Linked DNA regions of Macaca mulatta. The protein of the gene in region 1 interacts with the protein of each later gene in a biochemical or structural test. Links are inferred from orthologs where the notes say so. Each region holds a gene or a part of one and is shown on either strand. Other genes may lie near its edges. The genes, in order: PTGES3 and HSF1.

Region 1 (3,805 bases):
AGATGGAATCTTGCTCTGTCGCCCAGGCTGGAGTGCAGTGGAGCGATCACGGCTTACTGCAACCTCCACCTCCTGGGTTCACACGATTCTCCTGCCTCAGCCTTCTGAGTAGCTGGCATTACAGGCGCACGCCACCACACCCAGCTAATTTTTGTATTTTTAGTAGAGGGGAGGTTTTGCCATGTTGGTCAGGCTGGTCTGGAACTCCTGACCTCGTGATTCGCCCGCCTCAGCTTCCCAAAGTGCTGGGATTACAGGCATAAGCCACCGCACCCAGCCTATGATTCTTGTGTTTAAAAGTTTATAGTCATATTTTTTAGACCAAGTCCCGCTCTTTCGCCAGACTGGAGTCCAGTGGCACGATCTCAGCTCACTGCAACCTCTGCCTCCAGGGTTCAAGCAATTCCCATGCCTCAGCCTCAGGAGTAGGTGGGACCACAGGGACACGCCACCACGCCCAGCTTATTTTTTTTGTATTTTAGTAGAGACGGGGTTTCACCATGTTGGCCAGTATGGTCTGGATCTCCTGACCTCGTGATCCGCCAGCCTTGGCCTCCCAAAGTGCTGGCCTCCTCCCAAAGCGCCTGGTCAAAAGTTTTTTTTTTTTTTTGAGACGGAGTCTCGCTTTGTCGCCCAGGCTGGAGTGCAGTGGTCGGATCTCAGCTCACTGCAAGCTCCGCCTCCCGAGTTTACGCCATTCTCCTGCCTCAGCCTCCAGAGTAGCTGGGACTACAGGCGCCCACCACCTCGCCCAGCTAGTTTTTTGTATTTTTAGTAGAGACGGGGTTTCACCATATTAGCCAGGATGGTCTCGATCTCCTGACCTCGTGATCCGCCCGTCTCGGCCTCCCAAAGTGCTGGGATTACAGGCTTGAGCCACCGCGCCCGGCAAAAGTTTATAGTTTTATTTTATGGCTTCAAAATCCAAGTCAACTACTGCAATCATGCTTTAAAAAAAAAAAAAAAAAAAAAAAAATCCCAATGATGAAATTAGGAAATTAGCAAACTAGCTGTGTTAGTCTTAATACATTAACTTTTGCAGTTAACACTGATTCCTTTTAAAATCATTAAAATGGTCTTAAAAATAACACGCATCATGAATATGTGCCCAAAACCAAATTAAATTGACTACAGACAGGTACTGTGTACTTCGAGTGGGGAGACATCCATTTAATGGAACTTACCTCAGAAAAACGATCAAAATTAGACATGTCTTCATCTGAATCATCTTCCCAGTCTTTCCAATTATTGAAGTCGACACTAAGCCAATTAAGCTATAAATCAATACAAACATCACCCTAAGGTTAGGTTAATTTGCATTTGGCATGAACCTTAAGACTGCATTTTCTTTTCTTCTAAAGAGACCAAGTCTTGCTGTGTTGTCCAGGCTGGAGTGCAGCAAGCATTCACAGGTGCAATCCCATTATTGATCAATGTGAGTTTTGATCAGCTCCATTTCTGATCAAGGGTCTTGTTAACTCTTCAAGCAACCTGGTGGTCCCCGCTTCCTGGGACACCACCATACTGATGTTAACTTAGCATGGTTACCTGACTGACATATGGCATTGCAACCCAGAATTGGGCGCAAGTAATTCTCCCACTTCACCCTCCAGCGTCGCTTTTAACTACAACAGGCACCACATGGCTACTGGTCCCTGGCAAAACAACATTTTTTGAACTGCGACTTTGTATTTTTATGAGGGCATGTAATTAGCACACAAAGAATAGACTAAGCTAAATGGGGTGGCTTACACCTGTAACCCCAACACTTTGGGCGGCCACGGTGGAAAGATTGGTTGTGTAATCCTTCAGGAGTTCGAGACAGCCTGAGCAATAGTGTATCCTGTATCTGGGGAAAAAACAAAAAAACAAAGTTCCTGGGCGTGGTGGCACATTCCTATAATCCTAGCTATTTGGGAAGCTGAGGTGGGTGGGAGGATCGCTTAAGCCCAGGTGGAGGCTGCAGTGAGCCATGTTCACACCACTGCACTCTCGCATGAGTGGCATGAGACTATCTTAAAAAAAAAAAAAAAAAAATTAGGTAAGTGTGGTGGCTCATGCCTATAGTACCAGCACTTTGGGAAGCTGAGGTGGGGAGATTGCTTGAGCCTAGAAGTTCAAGAGCAATCTGAGCAAGATTGTGATACCCCTTCTCTACAAAAAATACAAAAATGAGCCAGGTGTCATGGCATGCCCCTGCAGTCCAAGCTACTTGGGGGACAGAGCGGGGAGGATCACTTGGAGCCTGGGAAGCTGAGGCTGCAGTGAGCCGAGATCGTGTCACTGCACTCCAGCCTGGGTAACAAAGAGAGACCCTGGTTTTGAAAAAAAAAACACTGAAAATTGTTAAACACACCTTTTGAAAACAAATTTACTAGTAAGAACTATTTTCAGTTGATTAATTTACTTTTTCACCAAGCTTTGTCCCCTCCCATTTGATAGCTGAGTAATTTATGCAAAGTCTATCTCTTAAGTGCAAAAGATTCTACACCAGTTAATAACTGATATTCTAATCACACTTCGTATTAAGTTAAAACTGAGTAGACAAAAAACATGAACATGAGGCTTTATACTTAGCTGTGAAACAAAAACACAGCAGTATATTCCTTACATCAAATAAGTGTATCTTTTATTACCTACAATAAAAACATCAAACTTTTCAAAAAAGGAAAACGAAACCTACCTTTGCCCTTTCTTTTGTTAACCTTGGCCATGACTGGCCAGATTCTCCTTTTCGTAAACAGCATAAAATTGATCTGTCCGTTCTTTTATGCTTGGAATCCTAAAAACAAAAGGACCATCATACCATTTATCTTTCCAGTATCGCTACATGACAGAAAGTAGCTTGTCATTTCTCACCTTTTTCATTTCTTTACCTAAATTTTCTCTGGACTCTGAAAGAAACATGCCCTTGACTACTAAAAACTTCAAATTATCCAATTGCCCCAAACCACTATAACTGTCATTTTTTAAAAATTTTATTTTTTCCCTTATATTTCCTACTGAAATAACCTGTACTACAACAAAGTTTCACGTTTAACCTGATACCATTTTTTTCTTTCCTGCACATGGTAAACAGAATAAAACCTTAAAAACTTTAACTAAAAATGATATAGCCACAGAATGGTTTAAATATTCTGTTCTTGGGCCAGCATGGTGGCTCAAGCCTGTAATCCCAGCACTTTGGGAGGCCGAGACGGGCGGATCACGAGGTCAGCAGATCGAGACCATCCTGGCTAACACGGTAAAACCCCGTCTCTACTGAAAAATACAAAAAACTAGCCAGGCAAGGTAGCAGGCGCCTGTAGTCCCAGCTACTTGGGAGGCTGCGGCAGGACAATGGCGTGAACCCGGGAGGCAGAGCTTGCAGTGAGCTGAGATCCGGCCACTGCACTCCAGCCTGGGCGACAGAGCGAGACTCCGTCTCAAAAAAAAAAAAAAAAAAGATTCTATTCTCAGATAAAGGAAGCCTTGGCCACGGGCGGTGGCTCATGCCTGTAATCCTAGCACTTTGGGAGGCCGAGGCAGGCGAACACCTGAGGTCAGGAGTTTGAGACTAGCCTAACCAACATGGTCTTTACTAAAAACACAAAAATTAGCCAGGTGTGGTGGCATGGGCCTGTAATCCCAGCTGCTCCAGAGGCTGAGGCAGGAAAATCCCTTGAACCTAGGAGGCAGAGGTTACAGTGAGCCAGGATTGCACCATTGCACTGCAGTAGTCTCAAAAAACAAAAACAAACAAAAAACAAAACAAACGGCCGGAGCGGTGGCTCAAGCCTGTAATCCCAGCACTTTAGGAGGCCGA
Region 2 (4,453 bases), on another chromosome or scaffold:
GCTGCTGCATGCAGAGGAGGAAGCTGGGCTGAGGGCTGGCACCAGGGCACGGGGCAGGGAGGCTGCGGGTCCCTGGTCTCACGGGTCTCAGTTCTATGGAGCTGCCTGTCAGTCCAGGTATTCAGTCCCCCAACCCCGTCTTTGGGTCTCAGTGGTACTGGATCCAGGCACACCTTTGGGATAAGCTGTTAAAAAGCTGGCTGAGGGAGGACCACCCACGTCCATGCCCATGCTCCTATGTGGATCTCCCGGGATCATAACCTTGTGGCTGACACGTTTCCTCTCCAAGGCAGATGGGGCTGTGCTGTCCTCCACGACTTGCTGGGTCCCCTCAAGGCCTCTGCCTGTGTGGGTGGGGTGCTCATGGGAATGAGGGTCTGGGGGGTGGGAAATCGAACACCACAGGGATGGGGCCATAGTCCCCACCAAATGGGCTCTCCTGGACAGTGACCCGGCATTCTGCCTCCAGTGGCTGCAGTGGGAGTCCCGATCTCAGGCCAGGGAGGGGAAGTGCAATGGTTGTCCAGAGCTGGTCCCATTCCTGGCCAGGCTCAGTAAAGTCACTGGCCAGTTTCTGGGCCTCAGTCTCCCCCAAGTTATTCAGCCTGGAGAATTAGTCACCATGCCTGTGATTCTGCCTCATCTTCTTGTGTCAAACAGGGAGGGTTTTTCTTGGCAGAATGGTGGTAAGACTTTGAGCCAGGAGACTGTCCCAGAGAAGGCAGCAGAGAGCAAGAGCACCAGGGCCTTCTCAAGGCCTCCGAGAGCCAGCTGGGCCTGGGCAGTAGATTTGTGGGAGGGTCCCCTGTTGGGACTCTGCCGACATGGAGTCCTCAGGGCTTGTGTGAGTGCTCTCAAAGCCACAGGATGGGACGATCACCTCCTTTCTCCAGGCCACGCAGCCAGCGCCAGAAAGCTCTGCAGCTCCCTGCACAGTCTGGAGAAGGGCTTCCTTCCAGTTTGAAGTCAGTGTTTCTATCTCATTGCCATGCTCGCCCCCACTGCTACATCCTGCACCAACCATTGCCACTTTATACTGACCAGGTGGAACCAAACACTGACATTCCACACGGCTCCCCATCCCTCCCCAGGGAGAACAGGCCCACAGGTGGTGCACCTGTGAGGAGAGTGGAGGCTGGCCACAGGCCTCATCAAATCTGCCTCCCTTGCTCAAAAGCCCTGCCCAGAACATGCCTCGGTCTCAAAAAAGAGTACACTGGGACCTAACCCACATGCCTCATAATCTTTTAAGCAGAAACAGCAAGCAGATTATGGGACAGGACAGATCATGCTAGTAGGATTAAGCTTAGAATATCCCAGATAATCTCAGATGCCCCTCCCCCAATGGGGCAAGAGAGTACTTCTGAGGGTTAAGGGGAATAAGAAAAAGAAGGAAGGGCTGGGTGCAGTGGCTCACACCTGTAATCCCAGCACTTAGGGAGGCCAAGGCAGGTGGATAACTTGAGGTCAGGAGTTCCAGACCAGGCTGGCTGATGTGGTGAAACCCCGTCTCTACTAAAAATACAACAATCAGCCAGGTGTGGTGGCGTGCATCTGTAGTCCTGGCTACTCGGGAGGCTGAGGCAGGAGAATTGCTTGAACCTGGGAGGTGGAGGTCGTAGTGAGACAAGATCGCACCACTGCACTCCAACCTGGGTGACAGAGCGAGAAGCCGTCTCAAAAAAAAAAAAAAAAAAAAAAAAAGAAAGAAAGAAAACGAAAGACGGATAAAAGAAAACAGAAACATGGGAATACTTCCTCTGCACAAAAATGCCAAGGTCTAGAATGAAGAGATGGTGAAATGAAGTCAGCCTGCAGGAAGGCGCACTGCGCCGTAATGGGACTTGGGGATGGGAAGGCCGACACAGACAGAGGTGTCAGCAGGACAAATACAAAGTGTTTCTGAAAAGAGCAAAGATTTCCAGTCCTCTCTTTATTCCCAAACACTCTGTAGGTAAAGCAGGGCCTCAGTAAACCCGAGAAGCAGAAGGCCTGGCCTCCTGCCTGGAGCAGCTTCAGTTCAGACTTTTCTTCATTCCTAACAGCAGAAAGAGGCTGTGCAAATGGGAGGCCCTCAGCAGAGCCTGAGGAACTCTGGGGTCTTAGCTCCTGGGAGGCCACACATGCTTGGTGGCATCCCGCCTGTCACGGTCCCTCCAAAAGCTCCCAGTGATCAGTGGCCTTTCTTTTTTCTTTTTTTTCTTAAGACAGGGTCTCATTCTTTGCCAGGCTGGAGTGCAGTGGTGGAATCTCGGTTCAGTGCAACCTCTGCCTCCCAGGTTCAGGGGATCCTCCTATCTCAGCCTCCCAAGTAGCTAGGACCACAGGCAAGCACCACCACGCCCGGCTAATTTTTTGTATTTTTAGTAGAGTCGGGGTTTTGCCATATTGTCTTGGCTGGTCTCGAACTCCTGGCCTCAAGTGATCTACCCGCCGCCACCTCCCAAAGTGCTGCTTTCACAGCAAAGAGTCACCCCGCTCGGCCAGTGTGGCCTTTCTTCAGGCCATCACTTGCCAGCCACAGGCTGTGGCTCTGCCCCTCACCGGACACGACGTCACAGCCGGGATGTGAACAGCAGATTTTGATCTCCAACTCCAGACAATCACTGATTTACTTCTGCAAACCGGAGCTGTCCGGTCTTGCAGGGTCGGACCGTGTAAACAAGCCTGCTGCCAGGCAACTGAAGATAAAGACACGAGTAAAGACGCCCCACAAGGAATGAAAAACAAAACTCCTCCTGGGAAACCCAGATTTGGGATTCGGAAACGGGCTTGAGATTAACCTGAAGCTTCATGACGTCTTACTTTCTGTTTCCACTGCCTTTCCTTTTCCACTACAGCGACGCCCTCCGCTTCACGTGCCAAGTCCTGACTTTCTCCGAATAGTTGCCGACCCAGCACCCCGTAGGCCGTCCCCCGGGGACGCCGATGTCCTCTGGAGCACAGCGTCCGCTGGCGAAGCCGGGTGCTTGCCCTAAGCGCGGACACTTCCGCAACCGCCCAACAGTTAGCAGAAGCCCGATGCAAGGGACGCCCCATTCTCCCATCCCAGGGAAACTTCGCTGGGGCAGCGGTTCAATCGGGTGTGGGTCTCGCAGCCGCTTTCCCAACTTAAGGCTCTGCGTTTGGGCAGGCTCGGGACCCGCCGCCCTTCCTGGCGGGGGCAGGGCAGGCTCCCCGCGCGTAAGCCGAGGTGTGGCAGGGCCCCTCCCCGCAGCCCTCCCGCGCCGTCCACCGCGGCCCTGCTCCCTCCCGGTCCCCACGGGCCCCGCGCCCGCGCGCTGCCCTCACCGGGCTCCAGCAGATGAGCGCGTCGGTGTCCGGGTCGCTCACGAGGGTCCACAGCTTGGTCAGGAAGGCCGGGACGTTGCTGGGCCCCGCCGCACCGGGGCCCACGGGCAGATCCATCTCGGGCAAGGCGGGAATAGGCGGAGGGAGCGGCCGCGAAGAGGGGCCGAGGGCCGGGCTAACGCCGTTGCCGCGCCAGCCGTCCGGGCCGAGCCGCCGCCCGCTGCGCACACACAGCCCCAAGGCCCAGCATGGCCGCCGCCATCTTGCAACGGGCGCGCTCCCGCCGCTGCCGCCGCCGCTGCCGCCCTCTCGCGTCCCCCCCCGGCGCGAGCACGCAGGCCCCGACCCCGCCCCGGCCCCCGGCCCCGCCGCGCGCCTGCGCGTGTTGGTCCCGCCCCCCCCCCGCCCGCCAATCGGGGCCGGGCTGGGCGGGGCGCGTCCTCCTGCGCACGCGGCCGTGTCACTGCCGGAAGCGGCTGTTCGGGTCGCGGCCGGCGCGCGGCGGGACATGGCGGGTTCGCGGGGCACGGGGCGCACGGCGGCGCCAAGCGTGCGGCCGGAGAAGCGGCGGTCGGAGCCCGAACTGGAGCCTGAGCCCGAGCCAGAGGTGACTGCGGCAATGCGGGGCGGCGAGGCGCGTCCCTAGAAGGCCCAGCGGGCACGTGGCCGCGCTGGGGCGGGTGGGCCCGGCTGCTGTCACCTGGGCGCCCGTGCCCAGTGAATCGGCCTTGGGCGTGGGCGCAGCTCCTCTATCGGGGGGTCTTAGGCAGAGCAGACTGCAGGGTGAAGGACGGCGTCCGGGAAGCAAAGAAACGGGGGTGCAGGGAGTGGGGATAAGCGCCCCTTGCAGCAGCCTCTCCGGCCGTTCCATTTGTGCGTCCTGCCAGTAAAAGGGCTCGGCTTGCGCCCCCAGTAAATGCTTAACCTACTTATGCGCTAGTTAATCACGTTTTTATGCTCATGGGATAGACGTGAGAATAAGAAAACCTGAATAGAACCCAGAGTCTGCTGCGTTTGTTGTATCAGAACTCACTGTTGCCCTCTGCCAGCTCAGCCCCGTCTTGGTTGTGGGGATCGTCAAATTGGGTGGTGGAGGGAATGGACAGCCAGCCTCTCACAGCCCCCTCGGCCGCGTTGGGTTGTTGAAACTGCCCCATTGCTT

Evidence for each region.
Region 2: the proteins of PTGES3 (region 1) and HSF1 form a complex in vitro, tested with the Homo sapiens proteins (2 studies listed by BioGRID). The link is inferred for Macaca mulatta from reciprocal best matches to the Homo sapiens genes PTGES3 and HSF1.

The regions. Positions count from the first base shown.
Region 1 is NC_133416.1:63,842,739-63,846,543, forward strand, and holds part of PTGES3 (prostaglandin E synthase 3), read right to left. Parts: intron 2,783-3,805; coding exon 2,684-2,782; intron 1,275-2,683; coding exon 1,185-1,274; intron 1-1,184. UniProt on the Homo sapiens protein: Cytosolic prostaglandin synthase that catalyzes the oxidoreduction of prostaglandin endoperoxide H2 (PGH2) to prostaglandin E2 (PGE2).
Region 2 is NC_133413.1:154,684,149-154,688,601, reverse strand, and holds the start of HSF1 (heat shock factor protein 1), read right to left. Parts: upstream 3,055-4,453; 5' UTR 3,040-3,054; coding exon 2,806-3,039; intron 1,708-2,805; exon of another isoform or gene 1-1,707. Other genes in the region: ribosome biogenesis protein BOP1, read left to right, coding at 3,800-3,898. UniProt on the Homo sapiens protein: Functions as a stress-inducible and DNA-binding transcription factor that plays a central role in the transcriptional activation of the heat shock response (HSR), leading to the expression of a large class of molecular chaperones, heat shock proteins (HSPs), that protect cells from cellular insult damage.